Callithrix jacchus: one gene and its partners. The protein of the gene in region 1 purifies or fractionates together with the protein of each later gene. This does not show direct contact. Links are inferred from orthologs where the notes say so. Each region holds a gene or a part of one and is shown in the gene's direction. Other genes may lie near its edges.

Region 1 (3,500 bases):
CAGCAAATGACTCTTGTATGCTAAATTACTATTGACAGTTTATGTTGAACATGTATGACTACCAGGGAACTGTTTACTTAGAATCATTTCCTATAATGATTGCTATGGAGAAGTGATAAACTCTTCATGATTAACTCTTCATAGACTTGGTATATTTTTCTAGTGTTGTTATATAATTTTCAGCTTATGGTTGTATAAGTTTTTCCATCATGGGAGGAAATAAGACTTTTGAGGTCAGTTAGTAGCTATGTGATCTTAATGTACTGAGCCTCACTCTTTTCAATAGAGTAAGTTTTATGATCCCTTTCAAAATGAACACTCTTAGAGTATGATGACACTAATAGCTCACATATCAGTAGTATGTGTTTTGTGCTAAAACATCTTATGCTGTCCTACCTGATCCCTCTTCTCATTCCGGAGAAAAACAAGCTGGAGATTTCAGCGAATAGCCATGAGATAGTTTTTTTCTGAGCAATCAATAGCTTATAGAAAGTTCTGTAGGACCTAAAATATAAACTTATTTGTTTATTCACTCATTCATTCATTTATTCTTTAAAATAGAGATGCAGTCTTCCCATGTTTCTCAGGCTGGTCTTGAATTCCTGGGCTCAAGTTATACTCCAACCTTGGCCTTCCAAAGTGCTGGGATTACAGGCATGAATCATATAAACACCTTTAGCATGTAACAGAGCATCTCTAAAATTCATTTATATATTTGTTTGTACAAAAAAATTGATCGAATATCTCCTTCGGACTAGTCATTATTATAAGCACAGGAGATACTTTGTTTTTTTTTTTTTGAGACAATCTCCCTCTGTTCCTCAGGCTGAAGGCAGTGGCACGATCTCTGTTCACTGCCACCTCTGCGTCCTGGATTCAAATGATTCTCCTGCCTCAACCTCCCAAGTAGCTGGGATTACAGGCACCAACCACCACACCCAGCTAATTTTTTATTTTTTTAGTAGAGACGGGGTTTCACCATGTTAGCCAGGCTGGTCTCCAACTCCTGACCTCCGGTGATCCGCCTGCCTTGGCCTCCCAAAGTGTTGTGATTACAGGCATGAGCCACCACACCTGGCCAGTAGATACTTTAATAATAAGATTGCCCAAGGCTGGGCGCAGTGGCTCACTCCTCTAACCTCAGCACTTTGGGAGGCTAAGGCAGGCAAATTATGAGGTCAGGAGTTGGAGACCATCCTGGCCAATCGGGTGAAACCCTGTCTGTACTGAAAAAAAAAAAAAAAAAAAATTACCCAGGCCTGGTGGCACGTGCCTGTAGTCCCAGCTACTCAGGAGGCTGAGGCAGGAGAATCTCTTGAACCCGGGAGGCGGAAATTTTAGTGAGCCGAGATTTCGCCACTGACTCTAGCCTGGGTGACAGAGCAAGTCTCTGTCTCAAAAAAAAAAGAAAGAAAAAAATATATATATGTATTTTGCTGACAAGTAATATGGGTATTATCATTGTGCATACCTCCTAGGGTTGATAAAAAGCTTATTTAGTTAATAAACTCTAAAAAACAGGCATATAAAGTGCTTACTAAATAGTAGCTATTATTATTTTGATTTTTTTTTTTTTTTTTTTTTTGAGACAGTTTTGTTCTTGTTCAGGCTGGAGTGCAATGGTGCAATCTTGGCTCACAGCAACCTCTGCCTCCTGGGTGCAAATGATTCTCCTGCCTCGGCTCTCATGTTCCTGGCATTACAGGCACCCATTAGCATGCCAGGCTTATTTTTCTATTTTTAGTAGAGATGGGGTTCTCCATGTTGGTCAGACTGGTCTTGAACTCCTGACCTCAGGTGATCTGCAGCCTCAGCCTCCCACAGTGCTGGGATTACAGGTGTGAGCCACTATGCCCAGCCCTATTTTAATTGCTTTAATAGGGGAGACATAATAAACAAGTAAAGTAGATAAATAATTTCATGCTGTGAACAGTCTTGATCACAGTAAACAGTGTTATGGAGCAAATGATTGGGTGGGGAGGGGTTGCCACTTTAGCAAGGGCAGTCAGAAGAAGCCTCACTAAAGCAGGACCTTTGATCTGAAATACACAGATTGGGAGCTTACTTGAAGAACAATGAACAGCACTCTGTAAAGGCCTAGAATTGGGGAAAAGCATGTTATGTTCAAGAAACAGATGATAAGCTAGTGTGACTGAAGCATAATGAGTGAGAGAGTAAGAGTTATAAGGGGAGATTGAAGGCATAGGCAAAGTCAGGTCAAGTTGTGTAAGCCATGAAGTGGCTCACACTTTTTTGCTCTGTTGTTTGGAGTATAAAATTAGAAATAGCATCCATTTCCTTTAAACTGTTTTAAAGAATGAAGTATGATAGACTTTATTAATATAAGACTGCTTGTAGCACTAAACATTTCTACAAAAAAATTCTGAAGATCTCGAGTGCCTAGGAATTTTATTTTCTTTGATAGTTATAAGTTGTCCTTTTAATGTACATCAAAGAATTTCTGACCAAAGCATTAAAGTGTAGAATGCCTATTTATTGAATTTTCTGTATTTCTTTTTTACTTTAATATATGCCATGAAACTTTTTATGAAAATATTTAAGAAGCATAGATGGACCTGAAAGCAACCAATATTCTATTTGTTAAGGGCCTGCCACATCAGCATCACCCTAACAGAAGCCATGTTGGGCCTACTAGAAGTCATATAACAGGCCTCAATTTGGATAATGGATATAAAATAAGTTGTATATATAGAGTATATATATTTTTCTTTTTTTTCCTTTTGTCTTTTCACGGAAGAAAGTGTTCTGGGTTTTTTAACTGTGGCACATGTTTATTTTCTTAGTCTGTGAATAGAGTTGACAGCAGAAAAGAGAAGCGTTATAAGTAGGATGAGGTCAATAAAATTTTCCAGGCCCAGTGACTTTGGAAATAATACTTGGTAACCTGAATTAAATTCTGATGAGTTTGTAATCCAAGATAATGGTCCTATAGGCAATTTCTATTATCATTAATTTCAAGACCTAGTGAGCCTCAAAAATAGAGATCATTGATGCATGATTTTGTTGGCATAGTTTATTTGGACACTGACTTGATTAGAAGATCTCAAATAATTTAAATGCATGAGGTCAAGGGAAAATTATCAACTTATAGCCAGGATAGCAATTTGTGTATATTTATTTTAATCATCCTTGGTTTTAAAATCTAAAAGACAAAATCTGAGTGTCCCAAATTTTTAAGTCTATTGAGAGGACGTGTTGACATCTGAAGTGGCTTAATGAGGTTTCTTTTCATTGTTTGCTTTTCTTAAGCCTACTTGTGTCTGAACATTTTAGGTCATTTACAGCAAATACACTGACCTGGTTCCAAAGGAGGTTATGAATGCAGATGACCCAGACCTGCAAAGGCCCGATGAAGAAGCTATTAAAGAGGTAACAGGGAATTGATATATTTGATGACTATTTACATCCTGATTAACTTCCAAACTCTCAATGTGATGTTTCCTATTTCAGATAACAGAAAAGACAAGAGTAGCCTTAGA
Region 2 (3,946 bases), on another chromosome or scaffold:
CATTTATTAAGTTTTTCTTTTTTATTATACTGATCTAAATGAAAGGAAATATGGGAAGTATATGAAAACATCCCTAAGCTCAGAATTATCAATACTGTTGACCTTTCCTGTGCTCCGGACTCCCCTCTCCCAGATATTGCTGGGACTTGCAAAGTTTAACGGTTTCTCTAGCAAAAGTAACTTCGCATAAAATACTTGTTCCCTGAAATGCCTGGCATTGGTAGGAAAGCACTTTCCTTCGGTACTAGACACAAACGTCTCCACTATATTCCGGACACATAACGTTCTGGAAACAAATGAGTGTATCTTCCATGCACATAATTCCCCTCCCCACGCCCATTTCTCACAGTTGGCCAAACCGTGAGAACTGGTTTGTATGCAGTCCTGGCGAAAAGGATGAAAGCGTCCTAGACAACCAAACCAATTCGCTTTTCAAAAGCGTTGCTAGACAAAGCCCATGACTTCAGAGAACACTGAAGAGAAAAAAGCACCAGTATTCTGCGACATGGGCATCAACAAATCTTAAGGTGCTGTTCCTTTAAAGACCAATACAAAAGTAGATTAGACCTCAGGACCCACAGTACAAGGGCGGAGGGCACACTGACAGCGGCCAGACAACTCCACAGAAGGACAAGTCCGGGAACGACCCTTCTGGTTGCTCTTTTTGCACCCAAGACCCGAGTGTGCTACCAGGCTCGCCCCAGTGCCTCTCTCCTACCGCCTATCACTGTTCCACAGCCTCACAGAGAAGGAGAAAAGCTGAGAGACCCTATCCAGAGAACCCGCCACCGCGACGCGGCGTCTGACAGTCACGAGTCCCGCCGACAGCCTAGACCCAGTCCGGGCCAGCCCAAGGCCTCCCTGAAGCTGGACGGCCTCAGTTCACACCAACCGTGACCCCAGGCCGACACTCACCAGCCTCCGAGCCGGCCATGTTTTGGAGGCAGTTTGCCGCCGGACCCCTACAGGCCAGGCAGGCTACGGTGTCCTGGAAGGACCGATCCACACAGATTCGACGCTTGGATGAGGGCGAACGAACCCAAGCGCTGGGAAGGAGGCGTGAAAGAGGGAGGGACATCAAAGGGGCTGCTCGCCGCTGATTGGTCACAGAGCAGCACTTCCTTTCACAGCACGTGCCAGGGCGGCGGTTTGCTGAGTTTAGAGACCATTCTCCGCTGGCCAGAACCCGGTAGATGATTGTCAGATCCGTGGGTCGGCAGCCCAGGCGGGTCCTGGGGCTTTGGGAGCGCACTTCCGGTACTATTTCGTTATGTATCCCTCCGCCGACGTCAACGGAGAAGTAGTGCGGCCCGCTGACCGGTGGCGGGGGTGGTAGTCACGTGACACGCCAGTCCCCGCCTGCCATTTGGTTACGGGCGTGAGGGCCCTTTGGAGACGTAAACATCTCCGAGTGAGGAGGGTTGGCTGGCCTGGGCAGGCTGTTTTATCGTCTGGCTGGGCCTGGGAAAGGGCGGGGTGGCTTGCTTGAGGTGTGGAAAGACGAGAAGAAGGTAAGGTCAAGAGAGTGCAGAATGAGACATTCCAATAGTGGGTGGGCCCTGAGCTGAGAGGCTCTCCTGGAGCGCCGGCTGCCGTTGCGGCTTCTGCGCGACGGGCGGGGCGATTAGGTCATAGAGCGGATCCCAGCGTTCCTTGCGGCGTAGGAGGCGGTCCAGACTATAAAAGCGGCTGCCGGAAAGCGGCCGGCACCTCATTCATTTTCACCGGTCTGTGGTCTTGTAGCTCCGGATTGTGTCATCGCCGTCCGTCCTCCGCTGCCGCCCCCGCAAGGCTTCGCTGTTGTCGAGGCCATTTCCAGCGACTCGTCGCACCCTTTTGTCTGTACTTCGTTCCCCGCCAACCGCAACCATTGACGCCATGTCGGGTTATTCGAGTGACCGAGACCGCGGCCGGGATCGAGGGTGAGTGTGGAAGCCGAGCTGTCAGGCCTAGCAGGTGGGGGATGGGACGGCAGGTGAGGGTGGCGGCCGGCGGGGGCTTTGGGGCTCGGACTCGGCCTTTCCGGATTCTCCTGGGGCCTCGTCTCTTGAACACTTGCGCCATTTTGATAATCACGTAACAGTGATTGGGAGTGGTTTATCGGTGTAGTGCCCTCAAGCTCGCTTTTTGTTGGGATTAGGAAGTCGTCGGGGCCGCTGCCATTTGGTAGCTGTTGGAGGAATTCAGAGGGAGCATATTGTGCGTTGGAAAGCACGACGTTTCGAGTAAGACGAAGTAGCAGCTCTTAGATTCTGCCTTTCAGGAGGTGTTTTTCGGGTGGCCGGGCATTCTGTGGGAGCTCTAGGACCACTTCTAAAGCCACTGATGCTGGGGGGGGTTAGGAGGGCGGTCGGCATTGCCGGCATCAGCCATGTGGCTGAGTCGCGGGTACAAAATGCCGGCCTCGGACATGGCGGCGGCGCCTTTGTTACCCCGCCCGGCGGAGGAGCTCAAAATGGCAGCGTCGAGAAAATGTGGCGCAGAGAGAAATGCGAGACAAAGGGGGAAGCGCCGCCCCAGCGGGAACGCCGCCCGGCCGGCTCCGCCCGGGCCGGGACTCCTCCCCCGGTAGTCGCCGGCTCCTCCTTTTCTTTTTTCCTGCGTTATATAATTTTTATTCGTTGATCGGGAGCTCTACCGCGGCGTCCCCCCAGCTCGGTTTGCTAGCAGAAGTATTTGCGAGAAAACCCTTGTTTTGGTCTCGCTGTCTGTGCTGTCTCGATTCTTTAACACCAAAGCTCTTTGGCTTGAAAACGGCCATATGAGTAACATCGTTGGGATGCTCTTTGGTTCGTGTATCCTTGTTATCCCTGATACTTAATTCCTAGACTGGTGGGGAAGATTATAGTAACCGCAAGAAGTGGTGTGTATCCGAAATTATGGCATCTGGGCCGCAAGTTCCCGACATGATAAATCCAGGGCTGTTTACATGGCCTAAGTGTGTACTTGGGACTACTAGAAATGTTAACTGTGGCTAAGAGAAAGACTATCGTTAAGGACAGTGCTTTGTTTACTAAACCTCTTAAGGTCGTTTTTCAGTGATCTGTAGCTTTGTGTCAAGGGATGGTAAACAAATCTGTATAGAAACCTGTGTTTAGATATTTGAAAACGTGAATAACGTTTTTTCTTTGCAGGTTTGGTGCACCTCGATTTGGAGGAAGCAGGGGAGGGCCTTTATCTGGAAAGAAGTTTGGAAACCCTGGGGAGAAACTAGTTAAAAAGAAGTGGAATCTTGATGAGCTGCCCAAATTTGAGAAGAATTTTTATCAAGAGCACCCTGATTTGTCTAGGCGCACAGCAGTGAGTAAATTAATGTGGCTTCATCAGGCTGTAACTCAGTAATGGATTCTAGTAAATGAAAATCTGACAGGTGTTTTGCAAATGATTCAATTTTGGTAGTTACGTTTTCTGACTTCATAATTGGGAAAGTTGTGACTCAATAGGTGGCTTTGGGATTTTTTTTTTAACTTAATTAGGTTGAGAACGGAATAAACTGTTCTTTTGCCATATAGTGTTTTCATATATGGGTCAGATAAAAACGAAAGCTACTTTACTCAATTACGAATTTAGGGGCTTACCAGTTACATTTAGCTAGGGGTGGTTGCCATGAACTTTAAGACTGTTAAAATTTGTTTTGCAGCAAGAGGTGGAAACATACAGAAGAAGCAAGGAGATTACAGTTAGAGGTCACAACTGCCCGAAGCCAGTTCTAAATTTTTATGAAGCCAATTTCCCTGGTAATTCTAGTTTTCAGTTCTATCTACCACTGGGATTTTGTTCCCACCCACTCCCTTTTACTTGGCATTACTAATTTTTACTAAATATCTGTCACTATAGCAAATGTCATGGATGTTATTGCAAGACAGAACTTTACTGAGCCTACTGCTATTCAAGCTCAGGGATGGCCAGTTGCTCTAAGTGGATTGGATATGGTTGGAGTAGCACA
Region 3 (3,500 bases), on another chromosome or scaffold:
CTCCTGAGTTCAAGTGATTTTCCTGCCTCAGTCTCCTGAGTAGCTGGGATTGTAGGCGTGTGCCACCATGCCTGGATAATTTTTGTATTTTTAGTAGAGACTTGGTTTAACTATGTTGGCCAGTCTAGTCTCAAACTCCTGACCTCATCATCCACCCACATTGGACTCCCAAAGTGCTGATATTACAGGCATGAGCCACTGTGCCTGTCCTTACCGACTGACTTTCTCAGATCTTTTTTCATTTATACAATTAGACTGGCTCTTTCTGGGGACCTATTTGGAGAGCAGCTGTGAGTGTCTTCTTACTGCTCCTTTAAATTCATATGGGAGAACTTAGTTCCTGGTTTTTGCCTTAAGGTTTCTCATTTACCTTCTTGTTTTAGATGTTGAGGTCCCAGAGTTTTTCTTTTTTCCCTTCTACTGCCATACCCGTGTTCCCCTTTATGTATATATATATTGATGCCCCACCTCTGCCCAGGTTTCTGTTGTTCTTTAAATGTGTTGCTGATTTGTGTTCTGAACTTCTGCTTGGCTCCTAGGGCCCTGTAGGGAAGGGTCCTGGCTGTGGCTTCTGGGCTGCTGGTTGGCGAGTCTGGCTGTTTTTCATGCGTGGCATTACGCCTTTATTGGAGCGATGGCTGGGCAACCTCCTGGCCCGGCAGTTTGAAGGTGAGTGGTTTTCTCTCTGTCCACCTTCTCCTGTTACTGTTTCAAAGGTAGCTTGTGTGTTTCTGCTCTGTCCCCTGCCCTAGTTCCCTGCTCTTGTGTGAGCACCCCTTTCTACTGGATTGCCTTTAGATCCAATTCTCAAATGACCTAGTATTCTATATCTTGGGCTTCCTTCTGGGGCCTTGAGAAGCAGTCATGCATTTGCATGAGAGTGGAGATTCCTCAGAAGCATACTTGTGAATGTTTAAGGCAGCTCGTCTTTTTGGGTATGCTGGGCACATGGACGCTTTGTTAATACCTAATTTGATTGTAACCATAATGAGTGAGGGGCATGAAGGTAGAGACCCTTACTAAAAGCAAGGAATCTTGCTTGTAATCACCACGGGACACTCTACTTCTAGGTCGACACTCAAAGGGGGTGGCGAAGACAGTAACAAAGCAGCGAGTGGAGTCGCATTTTGACCTGGAGCTTCGGGCAGCTGTGATGCATGATATTCTGGACATGATGCCTGAGGGAATCAAACAGAACAAGGCCCGGACGATCCTGCAGCACCTCAGCGAAGCCTGGCGCTGCTGGAAAGCCAACATTCCTTGGAAGGTGAGTGTGTCTCTCTTTTCTCGGAGGCGTAAATTACCATTTTTTGTTTTTTTTTTTCTCCTTGAGGTGGAGTCTTGCTCTGTCACCTGGGCTGGAGTGCAGTGGTAGTAGAGACGGGGTTTCTCCGTGTTGGCCAGGCTGGTCTCAAACTCTTGACCTCATGATCTGCCTGCCTGGGCCTCCTCAAGTGTTAGGATTACAGGCGCACCCGGCCTCATCCATCTTTAGGTTGCGATCACCACTTCGGGAATCAATAGGGGGCTAATTGGCTCCCGTCTCTTTTCTTTTCCCTTTTAGAGAGGGACTTGCTGTGGTGCCTAGGCTGGCCTCAGATTCCTGAGCTTGTGATCCTCCTCAGCCTCCTGAGGAGCCAGGTCACAGAAGTGTGCCACAGTACCTGGCTTGATGGTGTTTTTTGGACTTTCAGGTCCCTGGGTTGCCGACGCCCATAGAGAATATGATCCTTCGGTACGTGAAGGCCAAGGCTGACTGGTGGACCAACACTGCCCACTACAACCGCGAGCGGATTCGCCGAGGGGCCACTGTGGACAAGACTGTTTGTAAAAAGAACCTGGGCCGCCTCACGCGGCTCTACCTGAAGGCAGAACAGGAGCGGCAGCACAACTACCTGAAGGTGGGGCAGAGGAGGCTGGGCTGGTATGAGTGGTGGGGAGTACACGGGAGCGAGAACTGCAGCCTTGTGACTAGACCTTGTCCGGGGGATGGGGCTGTAGTGGAGGCTGACTTCATGTCCCCCTTGCAGGACGGGCCTTACATCACGGCAGAGGAGGCAGTGGCAGTGTACACCACCACCGTGCATTGGCTGGAAAGCCGTAGGTTCTCCCCGATCCCATTCCCCCCACTCTCCTATAAGCATGACACCAAGTTACTCATCTTGGCATTGGAGCGGCTCAAGGAAGCTTATAGGTGAGTAGCAGGGTAGATAGGTTCCTGCTGGGAAGGGACAGCAGGGAGTGGGCTCCTCATCAGAGTCCAAAGAAAGAAGGTGTAGCCCGCTCTTTTCTGGGTTGACTTCCTCTTGGTTTTCACATTCACCTTTCCCATTGCTTTCACGTCAGTGTGAAGTCTCGGTTAAACCAGTCTCAGAGGGAGGAGCTAGGTCTGATTGAGCAAGCCTACGATAACCCCCACGAGGCTCTGTCCCGCATCAAGCGTCACCTCCTCACACAGAGAGCCTTCAAAGAAGTGAGTGAGCTGCTATCCAAGTTTTCTTTTTGGTTCTGCCATTCATTCTTGGTAGAACCAAAGGTAGCAGGTTGCCTCAGGTGATAGGTGGATTGGTGTGAACCAGCCTCCTTGTCCCACAGGTGGGCATCGAGTTTATGGATCTCTATAGCCACCTGGTTCCAGTGTACGACGTAGAGCCGCTGGAGAAGATAACTGATGCCTACCTGGACCAATACCTGTGGTACGAAGCTGACAAGCGCCGCCTCTTTCCACCCTGGATTAAGCCTGCAGACACAGAGCCACCGCCACTGCTGGTTTACAAGTGGTGCCAAGGTAGAACTTTTCCAAGATTGCCCTGTGAGGAGTGGGGGGTGGATTTAGTTCAGCGTCAAAATTCTCATGTGAGCAGTGTGATTGGTTTCCTCTCTTGATACCTGTCACAGAAGGAAGGTAGTGTTCATGTTAAACTGAGTCATAGCGATCTGGATGCATATGTGGAATATCATGATAGTTACTGTGGAGCTAGTCCTGAGAGGATTTCTAACTGCTGGAGACCTGCATTGCTACTCCTCAGGCATCAATAATCTCCAGGATGTGTGGGAGACAAGTGAAGGCGAGTGCAATGTCATGCTGGAATCACGCTTTGAGAAGATGTATGAAAAGATCGACTTGACCCTGCTTAACAGACTGCTGCGCCTCATCGTGGACCACAACATAGCTGACTACATGACCGCCAAGAACAACGTCGTCATCAACTACAAGGTGTGTCTTGGGGCTTGTCAGGTCCACTGACCGCAGAATTTGCTGAGGGAGAACAGAAGAGGTGGGTCTCAGAGAATGCTGGGACGTGACCCAGATTGTTGAGAATCGTGGCTCTTTCCTTCTAGGACATGAACCATACGAATTCATATGGGATCATCAGAGGCCTGCAGTTTGCCTCGTTCATCGTGCAGTATTACGGCCTGGTGATGGATTTGCTTGTATTGGGATTGCACCGGGCCAGTGAGATGGCTGGGCCCCCTCAGATGCCGAATGACTTCCTCAG
Region 4 (4,001 bases), on another chromosome or scaffold:
CATACAGCCAATCACCTGGGTGGTGCTAGCACACAGTCTGGCTTCAGAGTCCATGCCCTTGGCCCCTGTGCCATACTGCCTTTTGTAAGTGTAACTTTTATTTTTCTCTCCAAGCTTTTGCTTATGTTGTTTCTCCTTCTGGAACGTCTTTCGTTCTCCTGCTCTTCTATCTGAATACTGCCCATCTGTCAAAGTTCCTCTTGCTTACACATCCTGTTCGTCCCGCCCTTTTGTCTGGATACCTTTTAGTCCACACCACATGTCCTTTGCATGATTTCTGAGAGTATATTATCTTACAGATATCTGCAAAGAATCATACACTATCTGAGCTGGAAGAGAAATAGCAAATATAAAATAAATTTATAGGAGGCCATTGGTTTGGACTGAGATCTTGCACTAGGCCCAACATACCAAGCCAATAAGAGTTAGTCCTGCTGAAGTTCCATGCTAATGAGCTGAAACGGGGATCTTTATGATCTTCTGAGTAGGAGAGAGAAATTGAGGGAAAGAGGGAAAAAGGTGTGGGAGAGAGAGAAAATAGCCAAATTCCGAAACAGGCTAGTTTTAGATGGCATGATAAGGAAGTTCCCTCCACTTTAACCTTTACAGGAAAAGTAATTTTGACATGACCAAACGACCAATCTGCTTTTTTTGTCTCTGGTTCTGTTTTCCTCAGTCCTTTTCGGTCTATAAATACAAGCTTGCCTGTTCAGCTCATTGGACTAATCATTATATTTTATAGTGAGGAGCGCCGCCCAGTTCTACAGAATTGCACCTGTAATCCCAGCTACTCTGGAGGCTGAGCAGAAGGATCACTTGAACCCAGGAGTTCCAGGATGTAGTACGCTGTGATTGCACCTGTGAATAGCCACTGCGTTCCAGCCTGGGCAACATTGCCAGTCTCTTTAAAAAAAAAAATTAAACTAAACTTTAAATTTGTTGTGATTTTGTCTTTTGACAAAGATGAAAGGGCAGGGAAGTCAATGTGAATTGCCCCAAATCACACTTGTCAAAACAAGTGCTGTCCAACTGATTTGGTTTTAAATTCTCACTGCATCATGGGAAATGTAGTTTCGAGTCTCCTCTCTCCCGACGTCCCCGCCACTCTGCCGGCGCTTTACGGAACGAGCCGAGTCAATCCGGAAATAACCGAGTGTTCGCGGCTGGCCTTTTCCTGCCCGGCTGCATTCTGGGAAAGGGCAATTTCCGTTAGGTGCTGAAGGCTGTGGCGCGCGGCTGTTCCCATTCCCACGTGAAGCGCTACGCTAGCATCGCTCTGCGAGCGGCTCCCAGCTTGCCGCCGAGCAGTCCCGGCAGAAGCGGGGGACCGGAAGTGGCTCGCGGAGGCTCAGAAACTAGTGCCGGAGGCTCAGAAACTAGTCCCGGAGTCCGGCGTGTGGCGTCTCGGAGCGCGGCGAAGGCGCCATGTCCCTGATCTGCTCCAGTGAGTGTTTACTGCGACCGAGCGCGGGTCGCAGGAGGCCGGAGAGCGGCGCGGGACCGTGTGCGGGCCGCTGCGGCGCTCGGGCCGGGGTGGAGGCGGTTATGGGGCGCCCGGGAGGCATAGTGGAGGCCTGTCAACCTCGCAGCCCTCCCCTCGGAGCGGGATGCGTTTGCGCAGTGCTCCGCAGTTTACATAGTGCCTGAGGTTTATTGCCGCAGGCATTACTGAGGCCAATCGCCTTGTTCTACAGAGTGGAAACAGCCTGGACAGAGAGAACTGGTGCAGGGGAAACAGCCTTGATGTAGGAGTTTGGAAACTCCAGGGTCCGCCTCCCGTTGGCTTTGTGAATTGGCTTAAGGCTCTGGGCCCTGGTTTCCCCATCTGCAAAATTGAGGAGCATTGCACTGGTTGTTTTGCGAGGTCTCGCTCGGATGGTCGGAGCTTTTGCAATTTGCAAAGGTCACATGATGAGTTAGAGGCAGAGGCAAGGCTGGCAGCCAGGTTTCTGGCTCTCGGCCTTACACTGTATGACTGATAAAAACAGTCGCACATTTATAAAGCCCTTATTGGTTTACAACGCGCTTCCAAGTCTATGATCTCATTTTATCCTCACAAGAATTCCCTAAAGGAGAAATAAAGATCCTGGTTTTGCAGATGAGGATGCAAGGCTCAGGAAGAGCCGGGGCTTATCTAAGGATGCGTAGTCAGTCAGTGTCAGAGCTGGGTGACGTAGTTAGCTGACATGGAGCTTGGACCCTGAATCCATGCCTTTTCCATACCTTCCACTGCCTTTCCCTTTGATATTTTATCATGACGTTCAGACGTTTCCCTTTAACTTTTCGTTGTTTCATCAGATTACTCGTTTCCCTTCCCTTTTGCTATTCATTTCCTTCTCTTCTCAGAACCTGTACATTGATCCAAAGAGGGGGAAGAAGGAAGGGAAATGATGGAAAAGGATCCCTCACAGTGAAGAAATTACAGCTCGCAAAGTACTTTCACATTCATTGTTTCCTTCCAATCTTGGAGAAGCTTTCTTTTACGTTCCCCAGGACCGTCCTTCCTGGCATGGTTCACTCATTTGTTAGATGTTTACCGAGTGCCCATAGGGCATCTGCATTATATTGGAAGGGAGAGACCAGCTGTAATCCTTATCCTCAAGGGGTGCACAGACTACGCTGGCAAGCGTGTAAATGATACCTCTCTTGCGGGTTGTTGTGAGGACGAATTCCTGTACGGTATGCTTAGAATTGTGCTTGGCAGTGTAATGTGCCATGTAAATATTTTTATTCTAGTGATTGCCACTTTGCTCCTTGGAATATTCCAGGTGATAAATGTCTGTCTGTATGCTCATCAGTTGACTAGTAGCTGGCAGACCCTCAGTAGCTTCAGGATGAGGACTAGTCACCAAGAAAGACCAAGGAGGTATTAGAAGGTTGGGATTTTCAGTCCTACCCCTCACTTAACCTGGGTAAGGAGAGGAGCTGGAGGTTAAGTTGGTCAGCAGTGACCAATGATTTAATGAATCATGCCTTTGTAATGAAGCTTTCATGAAAATCCAAAAGGACAGGATTCAAAGAGCTTCTGTATAGCAGAACATATGGAGGTCCCTGTAGGGTGGGGCGCCCAGGGAGGGCGTTGGAAGCTCTGTACCCTTCTCCCATACCTCCTCCTATGCACCTCTTCGTCCGTATCCTTTGTAATATCCTTTATAATAAACTGGTAAATGGAAGTGTTTTCCACAATGCCATGAGTCACTGTTGCAAATTAATTGAACCCAAAAAGGGGGTCATGGGACCCTGATTTACTGCCGGTTGATCAGACGAACAGGTCAAACAACATGGGAATCACAGTTGGCGTCTGAAGGGGCAGGGGAGTCTCGTGGGACTAAGTCCTCAACCCGTGTGATCTGACGCTGTCTCCAGGTACCTGGTGTCAGAATTGAATTGGAGGACACCCAGACGGTCACATCCGAGGTCACAGAAATATTTTGTTTTGTGACAGAATAGGAGAGACTGAGTTTGTTATTCCTATGTTCTCAGACTTCATAATTTCTTTGATAATCCCTCTGGAGCTATAGACTAAGATGGATGGCAGGCATTAGAATAGCTTCATGTGTATCTCCAGGTCATGGAGTAAACTGTATTCATAGATCATTGTTCAAAAATGAGAGGGGCGGGGATATTGAGTGCTGTTCTCTAGGTGCTTGGCACATAGTAGTTGTTAATGATTATTTGTTGACTGATTGTCAGGAGACTAATGGAGAAGCTAGTTCCATAGCTGGAAAGCATTCTGGGGCCAGTACAGAACTGGCTTAGGGTCAGATGTCTTGCTTCCTGCTAGTTGATTGTGAGGATGCTTAGTCTTGTTGGGCGTAACAGCAAGATTGCCTTCACTCCAAGCTCACTGCCGGCCTTTTCTCTACAGTCTCTAATGAAGTGCCGGAGCACCCATGTGTGTCCCCTGTCTCTAATCATGTTTATGAGCGGCGGCTCATTGAGAAGTACATTGCAGAGAATGGCACTGACCCCATCAACAACCAGCCTCTCTCCGAGGAGCA
Region 5 (3,500 bases), on another chromosome or scaffold:
TGAAGTCAGGAGTTTGAGACCAGCCTGGCCAACATGGTGAAACCCCATCTCTACCAAAAATACAAAAAATTAGCGGACGTGGTGGTGGGCACCTGTAATCTCTGCTACTCAGGAGGCTGAGACAGGAGAATCACTTGAACCCAGGAGGCGGAGGTTGCAGTGAGCTGAGATTGCACCACTGCACTCTAGCATGGGTGACAGAGTGAGACTCTGTCTCAAAAAAAAAAAAAAACCCAAAAACAACAACAAAAAGAAGTAGGCTTGAGATCACATAGTTCATCTTTTACTTTAGCATAAAATATCACCAAAATTTCTAGAATTCTGTTATGGACTGACTATAATCATAAGCAGAAGGCATAGATTTCATGTATGTGACTTTTTTTTTTGAGACGGAGTCTTGCTCTGTTGCCAAGCTGGAGTGCAGTGGCGCAATCTCGGCTCACTGCAACCTCTGCCTCCCAGGTTAAAGCAGTTCTCCTTCCTCAGTCTTCTGAATAGCTGGGATTACAGGTGTTTGCCACCACGTCCAGCTATTGTTTTTTTACATTTTTAGTAGAGACGGGGTTTTGCCATGTTGGCCCAGGATGGTCTCGATCTCCTGGCCTTGTGATCCACCCTTCTTGGCCTCCCAAAGTGTTGGGATTACAGGCGTGAGCCACTACGCCCGGCCATTGCTGTGACTCTTAATTGAAGGTTTTTAAGCTTTTTTTTTTTGAGACAGAGTCTTGCTCTGTCTCCAGGCTCCAGGCTGGAGTACAATGGTGCAGTCTTGGCTCACTGTAATTTCCGCTTCCTGGGTTCAAGCAATTCTTCTGCCTCAGCCTCCTGAGTAGCTGGTACTACAGGCGTGTGCCACCACACCCAGCTAATTTTTGTGTTTTTTAGTAGAGATGGGGTTTTACCATGTTGGCCAGGATGGTCTTGATATCTTGACCTCGTGATCCACCCATCTCGGCCTCCCAAAGTGCTGTGATTACAGGTGTGAGCCACTGCGCCTGGCAAGTGAAGGTTTTGAAATATTCTTTTGATGGTAATGTTTACTGGATTTCATGTTAGGAAAGTCTCCTGCCTGTGGTCTATCCAGAACTTCCAGTGTTGCTGCCAGTACAATTTACTCATCGCAGTGTTTTTTTATTTAATAAATTACCTGAAGTGAAGAGACGCTATTTGCTTCATTCCAGGCATGCCAGGCTGCCCAGAAAACAAAAGCAGATGACCGAGGAACAGATGAAAATACTTCAGAGCAGAGAATCCTCAATATGATTTCCCAGAGCTCTTCAGACACAACCATTGCAGGTTTAATGAGCATGTCAACTTCTTCTACCACAAATGCAGTGCCTTCCCTCCCAGTCTCCGAAGAATCATCCAGCAACTTAGCCAGTGTGGAGATGTTGCCTGGAGAGCGTTGGCTGTCCTCCCAACCTTCTTTCAAACTAGAACCTACTCAGGGTCATCGGACTAGTGACAATTTAGCACTTATAGGAGTTGATCATTCCTTACCACAGGATGGTTCAAATGCATTTATTTCCCAGAAGCAGAGTAGTAAGAGTGTGCCGTCAGCTAAAGTGTCACTGAAAGAATACCGTGCAAAGCATGCAGAAGAGTTGGCTGCTCAAAAGAAGCAACTGGAGAACATGGAAGCCAATGTGAAGTCACAGTATGCATATGCTGCCCAGAATCTCCTTTCTCATCATGATAGCCATTCTTCAGTCATTCTAAAAATGCCCTTAGAGGGTTCAGAAAACCCCGAGCGGTCTTTTCTGGAAAAGGCTGACAAAACAGCTCTCAAAATGAGAATTCCAGTGGCAGGTGGAGATAAGGCTGCCTCTTCAAAACCAGAGGAGATAAAAATGCGCATAAAAGTCCATGCTGCAGCTGATAAGCACAATTCTGTAGAGGACAGTGTTACAAAGAGCCGAGAGCACAAAGAAAAGCATAAGACTCACCCATCTAATCACCATCATCATCATAATCACCACTCACACAAGCACTCTCATTCACAACTTCCAGTTAGTACAGGGAACAAACGTCCAGGTGATCCAAAACATAGTAGCCAGACAAGCAACTTAGCACATAAAACCTATAGCTTGTCTAGTTCTTTTTCCTCTTCCAGTACTACTCGTAAAAGGGGACCCTCTGAAGAGACTGGAGGGGCAGTGTTTGATCATCCAACCAAGATTGCCAAGAGTAGTAAATCCTCTTCCCTAAATTTCTCCTTCCCTTCACTTCCTGCAATGGCTCAGATGCCTGGGCATAGCTCAGACACAAGTGGCCTTTCCTTTTCACAGCCCAGCTGTAAAACTCGAGTCTCTCATTCGAAACTGGATAAAGGGGCCACTGGGGCCAATGGTCATAACACGACCCAGACAATAGACTATCAAGATACTGTGAATATGCTTCACTCCCTGCTCAGTGCCCAAGGTGTTCAGCCCACTCAGCCCACTGCATTTGAATTTGTTCGTCCTTATAGCGAATATCTGAATCCTCGGGCTGGTGGAATCTCTTCCTCGAGATCTGGAAATACAGACAAACCCCGGCCACCACCTCTGCCATCAGAACCTCCTCCACCGCTTCCGCCCCTTCCTAAGTAAAAAAGAAAAACAGGAGGAGAAAAAAAACTTCTTTAAAAAAAAAATATATATACTTTTTTCTTTTTCTTTTCTTTCTTTTTTTTTTTTTTTTGACTACTGATTTGGACTAAGAAAATTACTTATGAAATATGTTACCCTTCATGGACTAGGGAGTAAATTGGTATTGAGACATAGGTGGGAGGGTAGTAGAAGGCCTTGGCTATTATATCTGCTGCCTCATGCATTTAACTATTTTCTTACAGTTTTTAACTGGTATTAGAGAGGTATTGAAGCTGTGAAGGATTAAGAACACTTTCTGAATTATTGGCCTCTCCACCGTCTAATTAGGTTGATTGGAGTATCTTCCCTCTTCTTGCCAGAGCCGAAAAATTGTTTTATCAGACAATTATGGATCCTTTTGGTGTTTAATATATCAGAAGAGAGGAAGTATTTAAACATCAAAATCTTTTTAAGAGACTTAAAAAAAATAATTTAAAGTAAGTTATCTGTTTAGTTTTTTTATATAATTGGGAAGGGGATAGGGATTTTGCTGTGTGTATGCAATACATAGCAGTGACTCCTGGTGGGTGGGATTGGAGGGTGGGAATGTGTGAGGGTGGGTGGGAGGGTAGGTTTTTGGCTAGGAGTTCTGAAATAGGCTCAGGCCACTTGAAGTGTCAGAATTTTAAGTGTGTATGTAAGTGTGGTTATGTGTGTTTTTAAGTGTGTGTGTTTAAAAATCATGTTTTACCTTTCCTTCCCTGTCCCTTACCATTTTCATTTCCAAACAGTCTACTAGAGAAGAACATGGTTGGCCTTGAGAACATAAAGGAAGAGGCATGTATTTGACATGGCATTTTCCCCTTTCTTTATGTTATAATTGAGTAGTAGCCCTCTAATTTCTAGCTTGGGCAAGTGCAGCCAGTACCC
Region 6 (3,500 bases), on another chromosome or scaffold:
AGTACTGGGATTACAGGTGTGAGCCATTGTGCCCAGCTTAATGGTCTCATTTTGACTTAATCACCTCTTTACATGCCCTGTCTCCACATACAGTCACATTGTGAGGTACTGGGGGTTAGAGCTTCCACATATGAATTTTGAACTGGGTACAGTGGCTCACACCTGTAATCCCAATACTTTGGAAGTCCAAGATGGGAGGATCACTTGAGTCAGGGATTTCGAGACCAGCGTGGGTAACATGCTGAAAAGCCATCTCTATAAAATATAAAAAATTAGCCGGTTGTGGTATCATGCGTGTGTAGTCCCAGCTACTCAGGAGGCTGAGGCTGCAGTGAGCCTTGATGACACCACTGTACTGCAACTTGGGCAACAGAGCAAGAGACTGTCTCAAAAAATACATATAACACATGAATTTTTTTTTTTTAAAGAGATAAGGTCTTGTTGTTTTGCCCAGGCTGGAGTACAGTGGTACAGTCACAGCTCACTATAACCTCAAACTCCTGGGCTCATATGATTTTCCAGCCTTAGCCTGCTGAGTAGCTGGGACTACATGCACATGCCACCATATCTGCTGAGTTTGTTTATTTTTGTAGAAATAAGGTCTTGCTATGTTGCCCAGGCTGGTCTTGAACTCCTTGCCTCAAGCAGTCCTCCCATCTGGTCCTCCCAAAGCACTGGGATTATAGGCATGTGCCACTGCTTCCAGTCTAAAAAAACACATGAAATCCATAGGGGACATATTTCAGTCCGTAACAGGATCCAAGGCCTATTTGTATTTTCCTCAACAGGCTTAATGCCTGAGCAAATATTTTTGGGTTCCCTGCCATCTCCCCATCAGTGATGTGGTTATACTCTGCTCCCAGATCCTTTGTTTACAGTTCCAATCTGTTTTGTAGCCCAAGTTCCTCTCCAAAGCAGAACGAGAGGCTGAAGCTCTAAAGCGACGGCAGCAGGAGGTGGAAGAGCGGCAGAAGATGCTTGAAGAAGAGAGGAAGAAAAGGAAACAGTTCCAAGACTTGGGCAGGAAGATGTTGGGTTCGTTATTCTACTCTGTGTAGCCCCTAGATGGGAGAGGAAAGAGATGAGATAGTGTTTCTCAGGAGAGATAGAAACCTGTTCACTCTGAAGTTTGGAAAAGGGAAAGATGGTGGGAGTTGATGAGAAAACATTTTTCTGTTAGATCTCCGTTTACCCTGTATCATAAGTCTATCCCTTTTTTTCTTCATTTGGTGTTCCTCATCTGGATTCCCTCCATTCCCTCTCCTCTTTTCTTCCATGAGCTCTTCTGCAGCTTTGCTTTCTTTGGTCTGCAGAAGATCCTCAGGAACGGGAACGTCGGGAACGCAGGGAGAGGATGGAGCGGGAGACCAATGGAAATGAGGATGAGGAAGGGCGGCAGAAGATCCGGGAAGAGAAGGATAAGAGCAAGGAACTGCATGCCATTAAGGTGCAGGCCTTGGCTCCATCTTCACTTCTCTCCCATACACAAAAATGAGGTTTAGTTATTTGGCCATTGTGATCTCTGCATGTGAGACTTGAGCCTCGAGGCTTATGTGCTTTGTGTTCTTTCCCTGGGCAGGAGCGTTACCTGGGTGGCATCAAAAAGCGGCGCCGAACGAGACATCTCAATGACCGAAAGTTTGTTTTTGAGTGGGATGCATCTGAAGACACATCCATCGACTACAATCCCCTGTGAGTGGCTTCGGGCCTGAGTTCTAGGTCTTTTCCACTGGGCAGTCCTAGAGAGCTGATGACTGGAGTAAGTAAGATAAGCTGGGGTGGAAAATTGGTAGACTAGTAGTCAGCCAACCCTCTGGTGGAAAGAAGACCCTGTCCAGGAAGAACTGTTTCATATTGGCAATCTGTCCTTCCCTCCTACTGCCGTAGCAGCTCCTTCTCTTTTTTCTTCCTTTGTCTCAATCCCAGGTACAAAGAACGGCACCAGGTGCAGTTACTGGGGCGAGGCTTCATTGCAGGCATTGACCTCAAGCAGCAGAAACGAGAGCAGTCACGTTTCTATGGAGACCTAATGGAGAAGAGACGAACCCTGGAAGAAAAGGAGCAGGAGGAGTGAGTGATCAAGGCTAGGGTGGCTGGACAGAGCCCAGTCTCTACAGAAAGGAGTTGGAGGGCACTGATCCTACTTACTCCTCACATCCTGCTCCAGGGCAAGACTCCGAAAACTTCGTAAGAAGGAAGCCAAGCAGCGCTGGGATGATCGTCATTGGTCTCAGAAAAAATTAGATGAGATGACGGACAGGGACTGGCGGATCTTCCGTGAGGACTACAGCATCACCACCAAAGGCGGCAAGATCCCCAATCCCATCCGATCTTGGAAAGACTCTTCTCTTCCCCCACACATTTTGGAGGTCATTGATAAGTGTGGCTACAAGGTAAGGAGGGGCAGATTGGCCCAAGAGATCTGACATGTTCCTAGTTTGGGAATACAGAACTTTATTCCTTGACTATTTGGGACCATTGCTGCTAGTGGGCATCAACCTTTTCTATCAGTTTCTAGTAGAAGTGTTGGCTTTTAGTGATTATGTTTCTTCTTGGGGTCCCCATTTCTGTGGACTGTACTTGGCATCCTTCCATTGTGCTAGGAGATGTGCTTTCTACTATCAATGGTAGCCCAGGTTGTATAATTCTGCCTGTACCTATTACTCTTTCTTGGGGTCACTGCAGGAACCAACACCTATCCAGCGTCAGGCAATTCCCATTGGGCTACAGAATCGTGACATCATTGGTGTGGCTGAGACTGGCAGCGGCAAGACAGCAGCCTTCCTCATCCCACTGCTGGTGTGGATCACCACACTTCCCAAAATTGACAGGTGAGGTCAGCTGGCACCAGCTGGAGTGGGTTTTTCTGGGTAGGAAAGATGAAAGTGGCAAATGAATGTTTGGTTTTTGTTTTACACCTATAATCAGAAGCTTGCTTCTTTATTCTGGGTTGAATATTAGGGAATAATTGGATTGTGGTATCATAGAACTATATGTTGCTGGCAAAGACCTGGAGAACTTTGCTATCCTGGAGTCTCTGATTTTTATTTATTTTATTTTATTTTTTGCTGGCAAAGACCTGGAGAACTTTGCTATTCTGGAGTCTCTGGTTTTTATTTTTTAATTTATTTTATTTAATTTATTTATTTTTTGAGATGGAGTCTCGTTTTGTCACCCAGGCTAGAGTGTAGTGGTGGGATCTCGGCTCACTGTAGCCTCTATCTCCAGCTTCAAGTGATTCTCCTGCCTAGCCTCCCAAGTAGCTGGTGTTACAGGTGCTGACCACCACGCCTAGCTAATTTTTGTATTTTTAGTAGACACACGGTTTCACCATGTTGGCCAGGCTGGTCTCAAACTCCTGACCTCAAGTGATCTGCCCACTTTGGCCTCCCAAAGTGCTGGGATTACAGGCTTGAGCCACTTTGCCCAGACCCAGCCTCTGATGTTGAAGTGAGATCATTGCGTTCTTTTCTTATCACCCTCCCCATTTCCATCACTCC
Region 7 (4,104 bases), on another chromosome or scaffold:
TACGTGGGTAGAGAGGGGCTTATACAAGTTGATGTTCCCTTATTTAGAAGGCAACTTAGAAATACATGTATCTGTGTGTCATCGAATGTGAATTAACAATGACTTTGACTTGATACCACATTTCTGAGTGCTTACGACATTTTATTGACTGTATGCTTCTCAGCAGCCTGCAACATCCTGGAGTACAGGGAGCTAATTCTTAATCATTTCGTATCCCTAGTTCCTAATTTGGTGGATACATAGTATCTATCAAATAAGTGAATATATCTCTGGGAAGAAGCAGATGGACTCTGTCTTGGGCGCATCCAATTTCCCCCCATCCATCACCTCTCCTTTTTCAATACTGGATCTCTGGCAGAGTTGTAGAGACGGCGGCCACCTGGTCAGTGAAATCAGCGAATTGAAAAACCACTGACTTCATCAACGTGTCTAGAGAGGTAGGCTGAAAAAAATTGAAAATCTATCAGGCATCTCATAACACAGTTCCCTATCTGACAAGACCAAGGTGTCTTCAAATTCTGCCCTAAGGTCCAGATTTCCTATGTGGATGGAGACTTCTGGCTTCAGAAATCCCCGACATCGGTTTCTCTAAACCATTCATTTTATTCTTTGAACATACTCTCCAGATATCTCTATCTTGAAAAGCCCTTGCTGCAATTTTGTTTCTCTTTCAAAACAATGATTCGAAAATTCCCAAAGAAACAGCAAGAGGGCAATTCCCTCCTTGAAGTGTTTGAGGGAGCAGAGGCTTACTGAAGTTCAGGCCTTGGGTCACCAAGTGCCAGAGGTAGCAGACTACCTCGGTGCCACACTTCTCCCAGTTTTCGCTGAGCTGAGCAATCCTGTCTTCCCCAGAGATACTGCAGCCGGGAGCTTTCAAGGCGTGCCTATCGCACCACCCAACTTCTGGAACCCCAGACTTCTGAACTGCCGTATCCCCGAGAACTGATCACTTTTTGTACAAACACCTCAGGCACAGAGGAAAGGAACCTTGCGCAAGGTCGTTTTTCATTTACAAAACGAAAACCCCACAAAAACCAAACCGGTATCCACCCATTCGTCACTTCATTTTGCAGCGTGGACAACAATAGGTGACTACAACTCCCAGAGAGGACTGCAGTCGTCCACTGCCTCAGAGGCCAATGGACGCCCGGTACATGACCGACATCGACTAATCAGGGCCAGGCTCGATGAGGCTTTGTCTTCCGACCGCGCGAGGGGCCGATTCTCCCGCCTCCCAGCCCCGGCGCACGCGCGCCCCGCCCAGCCTGCCTTTCCTCCGCGCCCTCCCCTCTCCTTTCTCCCTCTCAGAACCTTCCTGCCGCCGCGTTTGCACCTCGCTACTCCAGCTCTGGGGCGCATTCCAACCTTGCAGCCTGCGACCAGCAGAGAAAAATAATTACCTATTTTTTTTTGCCCCGTACATACCTTGAGGCGAGCAAAAAAATTAAATTTTAACCATGAGGGAAATCGTGCACATCCAGGCCGGTCAGTGTGGCAACCAGATCGGTGCCAAGGTAAGAATTTTACACCTCTTTTATTTCTTTTTAGAAGGAAAAATCCAGGTAATTTATGAAAAAATGGTTGTGGGGCATTTGCGCCCTTCATCCTTAATCAAGCCTTGCCTCTCCCAACCAAGTTTGTAACATTTATATACATAACAGTTGTAGCTAGCATTGGCTTTTGGAAAGCTGGGAATCATTTTTCTTGGCAGACACATTTTGGAGAAACTAGCAAAAGGGCTCTTCGGGTTTCGGGGGCGGGAAGACGGAGGATCTGTGAGCTTTTCACTTAGAAGGGCTTCTAACGGTCCGAGAACCGGGCAGGGAGAGAGATGCGGAAATGGTCGAAGACAAAGCGGGGCGAGGTTTTGCCCATGTGCATCCCGCCCAACCCCCCTGCGGGGTTCGAAGGGCCAAACCCGAGCGGGTAAGGGCGAGGCAGTCGGGCTGCTGCGGAGAGCTCCAGTGCAAGGGTGGGGGGGCGACGCGCCAGGGTGGGCTGTGCTGCGGGCTACTCTTCACAAAAGACCAGGGAGCCCAGCGCGCCCGCGACCCCGGAGAGCGGATCGTCCCTGAGTGGAAGGAGAATAAGAGCGGGATTAATTTTACTTGCTTTCATGGTCCCTAATAGAGATCATTTTAGGGCGTGAAGGGATATGGGGAGAAAATGGGGTGTGTGACTTTTTTTTACCAAGTCCCTCAGGACTTAAGGGGAGAGAAAGAATGCATTAAATCAAGGGGGGGAAATCTAGCGAAGGAATAAAATTCGAGGCCAAGGGGAATTTTTTTTTCTTTTTTTTTTGCGCGCGGTTACAGTGTAGCGGGGGAGGGGCGGGAGGAAGTGCGGCTGCTACGTTGTAGCAGAAGGGCGGGGCCCTGCGGGGCGGGGCCGAGGCGCGCGCGGGGACAGTGCGGTCCTGCCCGCCGGCGGGGGCGCGCTACCTTGGGCCCCGCCCCTCGTGCGCGGAATTCTTGCCCCTGGCCCCGCCCACGCGCGAAGCCTTTTGTCGGCGGCTCGACCTGCGCGTGCGCTGCAGTCACATGGAGGGCGGGGGGTGGTCGACTGCGGCAGCCACTCACTTCTCGGACCCCCAGTCCCCGGCCTTTTGTGCTTGGCGCGGTGGGGCGGTGCCCCGCGCTGTGGAAGGAGAGCGGCGCTTATCTTATTGTGGTCGACCTCCTTCCGCCCACCCGAGCGCTTAGGAATCGCTGCACATACCTCACCCCAATCGGAGAAAGCTGTGACTTCCCGGGGGAGCGAGTGTCTAGGGGAAGGGTGTGGCAGGCACACGGGATGCCAGGCCGTAGAACAATGGCCTGAGGGCATATGGAATTAAAATAGGAGGTGTGGGGCCGAGGCGGGCGGATACTTGGCAACAAAGCGAGGACCGCCCACCCCCCACCCCGTCTCTACAAAAAAAATAAAAAATTCACTGTGCACCGCGGTGGCGCGCGTCTGGGGTCCTAGCTACTCCAGAGGCTGAGGTAGGAGAATCGGTTGAGCTTGTCAGCTCCAGGTAGTATTGGAGCTGTGATTGCGCCACTGCTCAGGCTGGGCAACAGGAAGACCCTGCCTTAAAAATTATAAAAAGAGGCCGGGTGCGGTGGCTCACGCCTGTAATCTCAGCACTTTGAGAGGCCAAGGATCACGAGGTCAAGAGATCAAGACCATCCTGGCCAACTAAAAATACAACAATTAACTGGGCGTGGTGGCCTGTGCCTGTAGTCTCAGCTACTTGGGAGGCTGAGGCAGCAGAATCGCTTGAACCCAGGAGGCAGAGGTTGCAGTGAGCCAAGATCTTGCCACTGCGCTCCAGCCTGTGTGACAGAGCAATACTCCGTCTCAAAAAAAAAATAAAAGATAAAATGGTACTTTCGACATAGTTGGCTGGGACTTGAGCTGTTGTACTTTTTGCTCTCACCCGGCAGTTCTGGGAGGTGATCAGTGATGAACATGGCATCGACCCCACTGGCACCTACCACGGGGACAGTGACCTGCAGCTGGACCGCATCTCCGTGTACTACAATGAAGCCACAGGTGAGGGCAGGAGCCCGGGCAGCTCGGGTTCCCTTCCGTGTGTCCCACTTCTCTGGGTCTCTCTACATTCTTGGGCACGCCTTACTCTTTGGGTGATCTGTCATCCTTTGCCTTGGGTGAGCCACCGTCAGGGCCAGACGTCTGCTGCCACCTGGTGGCAGCACCTGGAATGACAGGTCTGGGGTCCCCGCTGTCTCCCAGCCTTCTCTGCCAGATCTCACAGCTTTTACTTTATTTTCTGTAGGTGGCAAATATGTTCCTCGTGCCATCCTGGTGGATCTAGAACCTGGGACCATGGACTCTGTTCGCTCAGGTCCTTTTGGCCAGATCTTTAGACCAGACAACTTTGTTTTTGGTGAGTTATACAGATATTAGCAGATGATACACCATTGTGTTCAACTTACTTAGATCCAAAGACAGAGCAGAAGTTAGGAGATGATGCCCTGGCGTGCTAATACAGAACTATGTTCTGAAATGTAATGGAGGGTAGAGGTAGTACTGCTATTGCTGGTAAATTATGGGGCAGTGGGGGGAGAATACATCACAGAGAAGGAGAAAGAAGAT

Evidence for each region.
Region 2: the proteins of SNW1 (region 1) and DDX5 fractionate together in Homo sapiens (co-fractionation; 3 studies listed by BioGRID and IntAct, with this or other methods). This does not show direct contact. The link is inferred for Callithrix jacchus from reciprocal best matches to the Homo sapiens genes SNW1 and DDX5.
Region 3: the proteins of SNW1 (region 1) and PRPF8 purify together in Homo sapiens (affinity purification with mass spectrometry; 5 studies listed by BioGRID and IntAct, with this or other methods). This does not show direct contact. The link is inferred for Callithrix jacchus from reciprocal best matches to the Homo sapiens genes SNW1 and PRPF8.
Region 4: the proteins of SNW1 (region 1) and PRPF19 purify together in Homo sapiens (affinity purification with mass spectrometry; 3 studies listed by BioGRID and IntAct, counting the BioPlex papers as one, with this or other methods). This does not show direct contact. The link is inferred for Callithrix jacchus from reciprocal best matches to the Homo sapiens genes SNW1 and PRPF19.
Region 5: the proteins of SNW1 (region 1) and CCNT1 purify together in Homo sapiens (affinity purification with western blotting; 3 studies listed by BioGRID and IntAct, with this or other methods). This does not show direct contact. The link is inferred for Callithrix jacchus from reciprocal best matches to the Homo sapiens genes SNW1 and CCNT1.
Region 6: the proteins of SNW1 (region 1) and DDX23 purify together in Homo sapiens (affinity purification with mass spectrometry; 3 studies listed by BioGRID and IntAct, with this or other methods). This does not show direct contact. The link is inferred for Callithrix jacchus from reciprocal best matches to the Homo sapiens genes SNW1 and DDX23.
Region 7: the proteins of SNW1 (region 1) and TUBB purify together in Homo sapiens (affinity purification with mass spectrometry; 3 studies listed by BioGRID and IntAct, with this or other methods). This does not show direct contact. The link is inferred for Callithrix jacchus from reciprocal best matches to the Homo sapiens genes SNW1 and TUBB.

Annotation. Positions count from the first base shown.
Region 1 is NC_133509.1:112,696,542-112,700,041, reverse strand, and holds part of SNW1 (SNW domain-containing protein 1), read left to right. Parts: intron 1-3,294; coding exon 3,295-3,390; intron 3,391-3,471; coding exon 3,472-3,500. UniProt on the Homo sapiens protein: Involved in pre-mRNA splicing as component of the spliceosome. As a component of the minor spliceosome, involved in the splicing of U12-type introns in pre-mRNAs.
Region 2 is NC_133506.1:89,766,629-89,770,574, reverse strand, and holds the start of DDX5 (putative ATP-dependent RNA helicase DDX5), read left to right. Parts: upstream 1-1,146; 5' UTR 1,147-1,257; intron 1,258-1,350; exon of another isoform or gene 1,351-1,511; intron 1,512-1,708; exon of another isoform or gene 1,709-1,743; 5' UTR 1,744-1,878; coding exon 1,879-1,922; intron 1,923-3,134; coding exon 3,135-3,300; intron 3,301-3,640; coding exon 3,641-3,737; intron 3,738-3,837; coding exon 3,838-3,946. Other genes in the region: CEP95 (centrosomal protein of 95 kDa), read right to left, coding at 916-934. UniProt on the Homo sapiens protein: Involved in the alternative regulation of pre-mRNA splicing; its RNA helicase activity is necessary for increasing tau exon 10 inclusion and occurs in a RBM4-dependent manner. Binds to the tau pre-mRNA in the stem-loop region downstream of exon 10.
Region 3 is NC_133506.1:66,559,598-66,563,097, forward strand, and holds part of PRPF8 (pre-mRNA-processing-splicing factor 8), read left to right. Parts: intron 1-539; coding exon 540-669; intron 670-1,070; coding exon 1,071-1,267; intron 1,268-1,694; coding exon 1,695-1,901; intron 1,902-2,030; coding exon 2,031-2,194; intron 2,195-2,346; coding exon 2,347-2,473; intron 2,474-2,595; coding exon 2,596-2,788; intron 2,789-3,029; coding exon 3,030-3,217; intron 3,218-3,342; coding exon 3,343-3,500. UniProt on the Homo sapiens protein: Plays a role in pre-mRNA splicing as core component of precatalytic, catalytic and postcatalytic spliceosomal complexes, both of the predominant U2-type spliceosome and the minor U12-type spliceosome.
Region 4 is NC_133511.1:117,927,757-117,931,757, reverse strand, and holds the start of PRPF19 (pre-mRNA-processing factor 19), read left to right. Parts: upstream 1-1,201; 5' UTR 1,202-1,425; coding exon 1,426-1,444; intron 1,445-2,346; exon of another isoform or gene 2,347-2,433; intron 2,434-3,868; coding exon 3,869-4,001. UniProt on the Homo sapiens protein: Ubiquitin-protein ligase which is a core component of several complexes mainly involved pre-mRNA splicing and DNA repair. Required for pre-mRNA splicing as component of the spliceosome.
Region 5 is NC_133510.1:70,881,664-70,885,163, forward strand, and holds part of CCNT1 (cyclin-T1), read left to right. Parts: intron 1-1,181; coding exon 1,182-2,591; 3' UTR 2,592-3,500. UniProt on the Homo sapiens protein: Regulatory subunit of the cyclin-dependent kinase pair (CDK9/cyclin-T1) complex, also called positive transcription elongation factor B (P-TEFb), which facilitates the transition from abortive to productive elongation by phosphorylating the CTD (C-terminal domain) of the large subunit of RNA polymerase II (RNA Pol II).
Region 6 is NC_133510.1:70,732,011-70,735,510, forward strand, and holds part of DDX23 (putative ATP-dependent RNA helicase DDX23), read left to right. Parts: intron 1-896; coding exon 897-1,035; intron 1,036-1,313; coding exon 1,314-1,447; intron 1,448-1,579; coding exon 1,580-1,692; intron 1,693-1,926; coding exon 1,927-2,070; intron 2,071-2,167; coding exon 2,168-2,393; intron 2,394-2,685; coding exon 2,686-2,831; intron 2,832-3,500. UniProt on the Homo sapiens protein: Involved in pre-mRNA splicing and its phosphorylated form (by SRPK2) is required for spliceosomal B complex formation.
Region 7 is NC_133505.1:35,516,857-35,520,960, forward strand, and holds the start of TUBB (tubulin beta chain), read left to right. Parts: upstream 1-1,304; 5' UTR 1,305-1,460; coding exon 1,461-1,517; intron 1,518-3,431; coding exon 3,432-3,540; intron 3,541-3,784; coding exon 3,785-3,895; intron 3,896-4,104. UniProt on the Homo sapiens protein: Tubulin is the major constituent of microtubules, a cylinder consisting of laterally associated linear protofilaments composed of alpha- and beta-tubulin heterodimers.